2 linked regions of the Danio rerio genome follow. The protein of the gene in region 2 purifies or fractionates together with the protein of the main gene of each other region. This does not show direct contact. Links are inferred from orthologs where the notes say so. Each region holds a gene or a part of one and is shown on either strand. Other genes may lie near its edges.

Region 1 (4,582 bases), on a different chromosome or scaffold from region 2:
CATCTGCTTGCTTTTGCAGAAATTTAATCAGCCAATCATATGGCAGTACATCACTCAATGTAGATTTAATAAAGATGATCTGCTGAAGTTCAAACAAAGCGTCAGAATAAAGAAGAAAACCGATTAAAGTGACTTTAAGGCTTTTTTTAGAGAGAAAACCCCCCTCACCCAGACTGATGTTTTTACTGGGTGTCAGAGCGTGACAGTTCAAAATCACTGGGCATGCACATATTTAGCCAGCATTAATTCTTGTTGTACACCAGTTGCGTATTAGGCATATAATAGGGAATGATACGCAGTAGAGTAGAAGACCAGTCAGAGATCGATTGTTGATAGCCACATCTCCGTTTTCAGCATTTCAGTCCATTTATTGTAAATTAAACAAAACCTTCAAATCTCAACAGAGATTTACATAATGAACATGCAGGCAGCAAGTCAGCATCATCTGTGTGATACAGTCCTGTAAATATGGACCAAAAATTCTGAGAAATAATATGAGATCCTTGCTAAAACTATTCTAAGCCATGAGAACGAGCAGTTCTGAAATCAAAATGGGTCTAACCAGTAACAGCAAGGTGTAATTAGTAAAGAGGCAAGTGAATGTTTATAATCAGAATATTAGTACTTGAATACTAGTATACTTACTCGCTTCAACAAATGCTTTCAGTGCTTCAAGTTGTTCTGCATCAGTAAACTGTAGAGCCTTTTCTAATATTTGACGATATCTGTGAAAACAGGGAGGACAAAGATTATAGCTACAAAAATTATACTATACTTGTGTTGACATTACTGGATGATAATGATGACTGGATTTATATTGTACTGTATAAAGTGATAAATATATCAAATGCAGCTTTAAATGCTTGTTAAGGTGAATTCTTAGTGGCTGTCAATCAACAGTTCTACATCCCCATTCACAATGTTGCCACGGTCATATGACCTAAACTTGAACTTCATCTTCAGAATATATGTAAATCATCATTATTTAAGCAAACCACAGTAACCACAAATCAACTATGGATTTTGACACCAATTTAAATCTATTCCTGGTGTTTATTTGTGGTTAAGTCTTGTTTATACAAATGCTAATCATCAGTGTACCAAAAAAATGCTTAATACACTTTTACTATAATATAGTCATGATCAATTTCATATGGGCTGTGTGACTTGTGTCGCTCCACTACTATTCACAAATCCTCTCCTGTGGCCTAGTGAGACAGAAAAGTTTTGATTCGACACACACCTCAGAATCTCAGCATACAAAGCATGTTATTCTGGTCCTTTTTGCATAGGGGACAGCGGGGATGAAAGTAACATTTTGCATATAAACCTAACTCTAAAAAGATAATGTTTTTAGCGGAAATATATATTTTGCTGAGGTTACCAACTCATAAGAGTGATCAATCAAAATCAGGTGTTATTTTGTATAATGTAGAACAACACCAATATAACGTCACTTTACACAAAAGTTGCACAGCTACTTTTGACAGGAACGAAAAAAAACTCACAGGTGAGTCAAAAGTAACACAACAATATTTGCTAGATTTACCGGCTTAATCGTGTTTATTTTAAATATATCTGACCAGTGGTGTAAAGTAACAAATCACCAATACTCAAATTACTGTGAGTAACTTTTCTCAGAAATTGTAATTTACCAAGTAATTTAAAAAATATGTACTTTTGATTTTTCAGTACTCATTCCACCACTGTATCTGACTTTGACCTTGTTAATGTTAACTGCAGGCATATTTTGTCCTTTATTTTTGCAAAAAAAATATTAAACTGCACCTTAATTTTTAATTTTACTTCCATAAAATGTTTCAAAAGCAATCAAACAATGCAAAATGTTATATTTTCTTAAAATTTTTGAATATTTTATTATTATTATTGGCAATCTGCATTAATCTTATAAAACAGTCAAGAGTCAAAACACTGAAAACTAATATGGAAGTGAAAAAGTGCAGAGGGACATAAATAACAGTGTTACTTTCATCCCTACAGTAAACCTAATTTACCTTTTAAACTGCAAAACTCAGACATTTCAAAATCAAGGAATTGTTATTGCACTAAAGAACCTGCAGATTGATCATTACGGTGATGCATGAAAAGAGAAATACAACAAACCACTACAATAATTTACATTTTGCACTTTCAAACAGAAATTTAGAGCTCATTGCAGGACACGGCCCCAAAATTGTATATTTAGCAGTTTCATTAAGGGTTGCATGCTGCTAAATGTGTTGTTATAGCCTGTAAATCAAATGTTTTCAGGGCTTCGAGAAAATCACTTTGTTACTTTTGTCCCACGTTTCTTTTATTCCTGCTCTCCCCTACTGTTTTTTTTTAAATACAATGAACTATTACTGTCTATTCAACTTTTTCTTTTCGCCTAATATAAAAGTCTACATATTCAGACACACATTTTAATAATGCTGAGGGTAAGGCTTGTTCATCCTATAAAATTTGATTGGACAAAAACGTAGACACGCCCCTAAATGCAAGATGAGTCATCAGTATTTTGGTTTTAAAAAACAAACGGTTTTTTTTCAAATGTCATTGTCAAATGACAACTATATTGTCAACTTTTAGGTCTACGTTTGGATATACAATATCTCAAACCAAAATTACTGAACCAAACGATTTGATTTAATGGGGTCTTAAATTCTGTAGGCTAACTGTATTTGCATTAACGTACTCCTCCTATCGTTTTCAAATTATATTAGTCAATTCACAAAGACATTTGCATACAAATATGCTAATGATTCTAATAGCTTTTACTATTTATAACTTGTATGATTGTTATTGATGTAGGCATGTTGACAGGTAGATCCTCAGTATTACACACGCTTGCTAATGTTAGCCTGTAGTCATATCATTTGCAGTATCACAGACCTTTATATAGAAAATCACACAATAACACCCAAATGCAAAAGACATACAGTAACGATATTAGCAAATGACTTGAAACCACATACTTCCCAGCTAGATCTTTATGAGAGCCACTAGAGTTCATCAGCTGTGCGAGCTCCTGCCTCACGCCGGACGCCATTTTCCTCCGCACTTAAACAGCGAAACCTGCGGGCCAGCAGAGGGCGCCACACAACACAGAGAACCGACGACAACTGAACAACACACTAGAGGGCGGTAAAGTCTATGTGGGATACAGCTGCGGATAGCATCATTTTTGTGACACTAATTAATATTTTACATAACTGTGAGATGGGCATTAATAAAATACAATTCAATGGGTAATTTAATAAATATTATGAGTAATAATTGGTATAATGACAGTTTTTTACATTATAATGGTATAATTACTGTTTTACATAACTTTATTGATTGAGTTTAGGGTTAGGGGGGATAGGCATTAATAAAATACAGTTCAATGGGTAATTTGATAAATATTATGAATAATGCTTGATATAATTATTGTTTTTACATTACTTTGATGTTTGTATTTAGGGTTAGGTAGGTGTTGACATTAATAAAATACAATTTAATTGGTAATTTAATAAATATTATGAGTAATACTTGGTATAATTACTGTTTCACATAACTTTATTGGTTGGGTTTAGGGTTAGATAGGGGTAGACGTTAATAAAATACAGTTTAATGGGTAATTTAATGAATAATATGGGTAATACGTGGTGTTTTACCATCACTTTGATGCTTGAGTTTAGGAATGGGGTAGGTGTTAATAAAATACAATTTAACTGGGGATTTTAATAAATAATTCTTGTTAATCAAATCTTGTGCATCAAATGTGTGTGTGTGTGTGTGTGTGTGTGTGTGTGTGTGTGTGTGTGTGTGTGTGCAACATTTTATTTATTATTATTATTAATGTGAACATAAATGTGAACATAAATTAATTTATTATATCAATTTGTTTGTCAAAATTTTATTTAATTAATTTTAATTGTAAATGTCTAAAATTCATCAATACAAATAGGTGCAACACACCCATTGGGGGGTTTAGACATAATATTAGTAGTAATATTAATTGAATAATGATGAATTAATAATTGATAAAATAAATTACACCTAGTTAATATTCTAAAGACAACATAAAAACTGAACCTTTAGTAACTGAACCTCTAAGAAATCTTTCTCAGACATCTTCGTGTTTTTAGTTTCAGATATTTTATTATTACTCTGAGCTCAACAGCCTCCTGATGAGATTTTATATATAGTAAGGATCAATAAAGATCTGCCTCCTTCACTCTTCCCTGCAGTAACTCTATAATATAATTAATTAATTCATTAATTTTTTTTCGGCTTAGTCCCTTCATTCATCAGGAGTTGCCACAGCGGAATGAACTGCCAACTTACCAAGCATATGTTTTACACAGCTGATGCCCTGTCAGCTGCAACCCAGTTCTGGCAAATATCTAAACACACTCGTTCACACTCATACACTATAGCCACACATATGTAATATAATATAATATAATATAATATAATATAATATAATATAATATAATATAATATAATATAATATAATATAATATAATATAATATAATATAATATAAAGGTGTCACGGGGGCACAGTTGACAGCACAATAGCCTTACAGCAAGTAGGTT
Region 2 (4,443 bases):
GATTTCTTCCCGATCACAGCCCGATCTGTCGGCGAGCTCGTTAACTTCCAAATCGGGCTCAAATCAGGCTTAAAATCCTCTAGTGTGAACTAGGCTTAAGCCGCTGCACTGTTCAGCTCTTCAGCATGCTGGATGTTGGTTTAAAAGAGATTTGTGTTTTAGATGCTTACTGAATCATATACTGACCAGTAACTTGTGGTGTGGATGCTACTTTTCTACTGTTGCCCTAAAAAAACTCAATAAAAGTCATGAAAAACAAAACCTACAAATACCTTAGGACTGATATAACACAATGTTTTAGCGGCTTTATACCTTGAATTTTTAAAACCGCGGTAAACCTTAAAACCGGTTATTGTCCCATGCCTAGTCCCTAATTAATTAGGACTCGCCACAGCAGAATGAACCGCCAACTATTCCAGCACATGTTTTACACAGCAGATCCACGCCAACCTGGAGAGACCATGCAAACTCCACACAGAAACACCAACTGACCCAGCCGGGCTTGCTGTGTGGCCACAGTGCTAACCACTGAGCCACCGTGTCACCCATATATATATATATATATATATATATATATATATATATATATATATATATATATATATATATATATATATATATATATATATATATATATATATATATATATTTTTTTTTTTTTTTTTTTTTTCTTGCTTTGTAGTTGTTTTGCTTTCTTTAGAATAGGCAGCTTTAAAAGGAACAGCAAGCAAGACTGACCCCCACAGATACATTGACAGCCTTCATGAATGAAATGCACACTTTTCCACCATCTGGCAACCCGGAGTGCTGAAATATAACTTGTAAAACTGGCTGTGGGGCAGAGTTACAGAGAAAGCAAAGACAGATATTCTGACACTGAAAGCACATTCTCAAAGCAGAAGAACTGACTGCTGAATTATTTCTCTGAAAAACATGCTCATTTAGCATGTTTCTTAAATATCTGCAAACATACTATGGTATTTCTATGCTTTAGAAGAGTCAAACACATACAGTTGAATTCAGAATTATTCGCCCCCTTTTTATTTTTTACCTAATTTCTGTTTAACAGAGAGCAGATTTTTTTCAGCACATTTCTAATCATAATAGTGTTAATAACTCATCTCTAATAACTGATTTATTTTCTCTTTGTCATGATGACAGTAAATAATATTAGACTAGATATTCTTCAAGACACTTCTATACAGCTTAAAGTGACATGTAAAGGCTTCACTAGGGTAATTAGGGTAAAGTTAGGGTAATTAGGCAAGTCATTGTATAATGACGGTTTGTTCGAAACAAAATAAATAGCTTAAAGGGGCTAATAATATTGACCTTAAAATGTTTTTAAAAAAATTAAAAACTGCTTTTATTCTAGCCGAAATAAAACAAATCACACTTTCTCCAGAAGAACAAATATTATCAGACATACTGTGAACATTTCCTCAATCTGTTCAACATAATTTGTGAAATATTTCCATTTCCAAATCCAAGGTTGGCCGAATAATTCTAGCTTCAACTGTACAGCATTTTGAATATGTTTTTGGCTTGTCACAGTGTGGATTGCACTTTTATTTGTTGTATTTACTTATTTTGTTCTTGTGCAAACAAATTAAATTTAAATTACCAGTAAAAAACCCCAGTACTGGGAAACACCCAGACCCACTCATTCACACACACAAAAACTCATACACTACGGCCAATTTAGTTGATCAGTTCCCCTATAGCGCATGTGTTTGGACTGTGGGGGAAACCAGAGCAAACCCACTCCAACACATGGAGAACATGCAAACTCCACACAGAAACACCAACTGACCCAGCCGAGACTCCAGCAGTCACACATTGCTTGTATAACATATTTGCATAAGCTTTTCATTGAGATATAAAATTGTTGATTGAGATTGAAAATAATGATCAAAATTACATTTGTATTTTGCATGAGCTCTTCATAAGTTCCAGCATTTAAATATACTGGGGGAAAGTTAGTTTCACACTTCTGGACTTTCTCCTTAATAATATAATCTCAGAAAAGTTTTCTTTGCAAATCCTAAAAAAGGACAATCACATTTTCAGCTGATGAAAAACAAGATTGCTGACAGTCAGTTAAATAGTGCTAATGTTGATTTGAGGTCATAATTATGTCTGATTTCAGACCCAATATTCAAAGCATCATGGTAAACAATATAGGGAGCGTGTCACAACTAGTCACTGAACAAACGTGCTAATATTAAACAAACTTTAGTTCCATTTTAAATATTACAGCTCCTTTATTCTTTATTTTAGTTCTCTTCAATGTTTTAATACGATCTAGACTGAGATATAGAAGCGACACAGGAATGAAGATCAGTCTAATGAGTCTGGATATCAATAAAAGACTGCAAAAGAGGATTTTACAATCTCACACACACACACTAACACAAACTACACACAAGAAAATAGAACACACACTGAGAGAAAACACAACACAACGACACACACAGAATACACAAACACAGATCTCTATCAAACGGTCGAGAACTGAGGAGAACCGGAGATCAGATGAGCTGATTGATTAATTGATTGATTATTGATCTGATCACCTGACCATCAACTGCGGATCATCGATCAGCCGCGATGTGTGTGCGTATGTATACATGTAGATATGCGTGTGTGTTTGTGTGTATGAGTGTTTGTGTCGATGGAAGGAAAGTGTTTGTCGGCGGCGGTTAGCGGCGGCTAATGCACACATACACACACACACGGACACAGACAGAGACACGCGCACACACACTGACCTGACGCTGGCCTCCTCCGCTCGGCTCACTGACGGACACACAGTCGTTCTTCTCCTTCTTTTTCGCTCTTTATTCCTCTGTTTTCTCGCTTCTGTTCTTCACAGCTGCTGCTGCTTCAAGGCTGCCGCCATCTTGTTTACCTCCCTCCCCTCGCTGCAGTACGCATGCGCACATCCGTGAACGCGCTCGAGGCCTCCAGACGGAAACGCGCGCAGGAAAGTTCCAACTTGAAGATGATCATATCCATTCATTTATTTATTTTCTTTTCGGCTTAGTCCCTTTATAAGTCTGGCGTCGCCACTGTGGAATGAACCACCAACTCATCCAGAATATGTTTAACGTAGCGGATGCCCTTCCAGCTGCAACCCAGTACTGGGAATATGACCATAATCAAAAATATCCAAATATGTTTATCAAAGATTATTATTATGTGTGGTGTGCTGGAGCACATCAGAGGGGATTTACGGCGAATCTAAATGGCATTCTTATATAATTCTTGGTAATTTACACCTTTATTATGGATTTATTGTCTATTATCTGGTTATTGTCAGGCTAAATACTTGCATACGAGGAATAAATATTAAATATATTACATGTTATTATTATTATTATTATATTATTATTATATAAAAGTGGCAAATACAGTAAGAGTGAATTTTGTAATTCTTACACTTTTTAAATATTTTAATAAATAATCTGTATTTGTGCTGTATTAAATAATCTGTACAGGCTGTATAAATTGCAATATTCTTGTTAGCACACTAACGAGTATTTGTTAATGCAGTATTTTAAATGGCAAAATGAGTTGAGTTGATGTTTATTTATTGATTTATTTGTAGAAATGTTATAGTTTTAAATATATAGCTGAAAGCAGAAGTTTACATACACTGTATAAAAGGGCAAATGACCATTTAAAAAAAGTCAGATGTTAATGTGACTAAACTTTTTCTCTTTTAGGTAAGTGAGGATGATCACATGTGTTTCTGTTCTGCTTGATAGCAGAATAATTAGAGATATATGTTGAGGAATTGTTCTAACTCTTGTTGAAAGTCAAGTTTACACACAATCAGATTATTCTGCCTCTGGAAAAGCTCAGATGATGATGTCAGGGTTTTGGAAGTTTCTGATTGGCTAATTGACAACATTTGAGTTAATGTGAGGCACAACTGTAGAATAGTGTTGAAGGAAAAGCTCAAACACACTGCTTCCTTCTGTGACAACATGAGAAAATCAACAAGCCACAATCAACAACAAAGCCAGATTTCCATTAGCTGAATGACACTGGGAACAGACTAATGTGTGGAGACATGTCCTGTGCTCTGATGGAGCTAAGATTGAACTGTTTGGCCATAATGAGCAGTGTTACATCTGGAGGACAAAGGGGAAACACACAAGCCTAGAACACCATCCCAACTGTGCAGTATGGGGGCGGCAGCATCATGTTGTGGGGCTGTTCTGCTGCAGGAGGGACTGGTCCACTTCACAGCATAGATGGCATCATGAAGACAGAACATCATGGAGAAATACTGAAGCAACATCTCAACACATCAGCCAGGACATTACAACTCAGCCACAAATGGCTCTTCCAGACAGACCATGACCCTAAGCACACTGCCAAATGAGTTAACATGTGCTTTAAGGACAACAGAGTGAATGTTTTGCAGTGGCCATC

What was found.
Region 1: the proteins of stk11 (region 2) and cops4 purify together in Homo sapiens (affinity purification with mass spectrometry; 4 studies listed by BioGRID and IntAct, with this or other methods). This does not show direct contact. The link is inferred for Danio rerio from reciprocal best matches to the Homo sapiens genes STK11 and COPS4.

Annotation. Positions count from the first base shown.
Region 1 is NC_133185.1:12,012,910-12,017,491, reverse strand, and holds the start of cops4 (COP9 signalosome complex subunit 4), read right to left. Parts: upstream 3,118-4,582; 5' UTR 3,050-3,117; coding exon 2,976-3,049; exon of another isoform or gene 999-2,975; intron 756-998; exon of another isoform or gene 726-755; coding exon 646-725; intron 1-645. UniProt on the Homo sapiens protein: Component of the COP9 signalosome complex (CSN), a complex involved in various cellular and developmental processes.
Region 2 is NC_133177.1:63,068,336-63,072,778, reverse strand, and holds the start of stk11 (serine/threonine-protein kinase STK11), read right to left. Parts: upstream 2,927-4,443; 5' UTR 2,768-2,926; intron 1-2,767. UniProt on the Homo sapiens protein: Tumor suppressor serine/threonine-protein kinase that controls the activity of AMP-activated protein kinase (AMPK) family members, thereby playing a role in various processes such as cell metabolism, cell polarity, apoptosis and DNA damage response.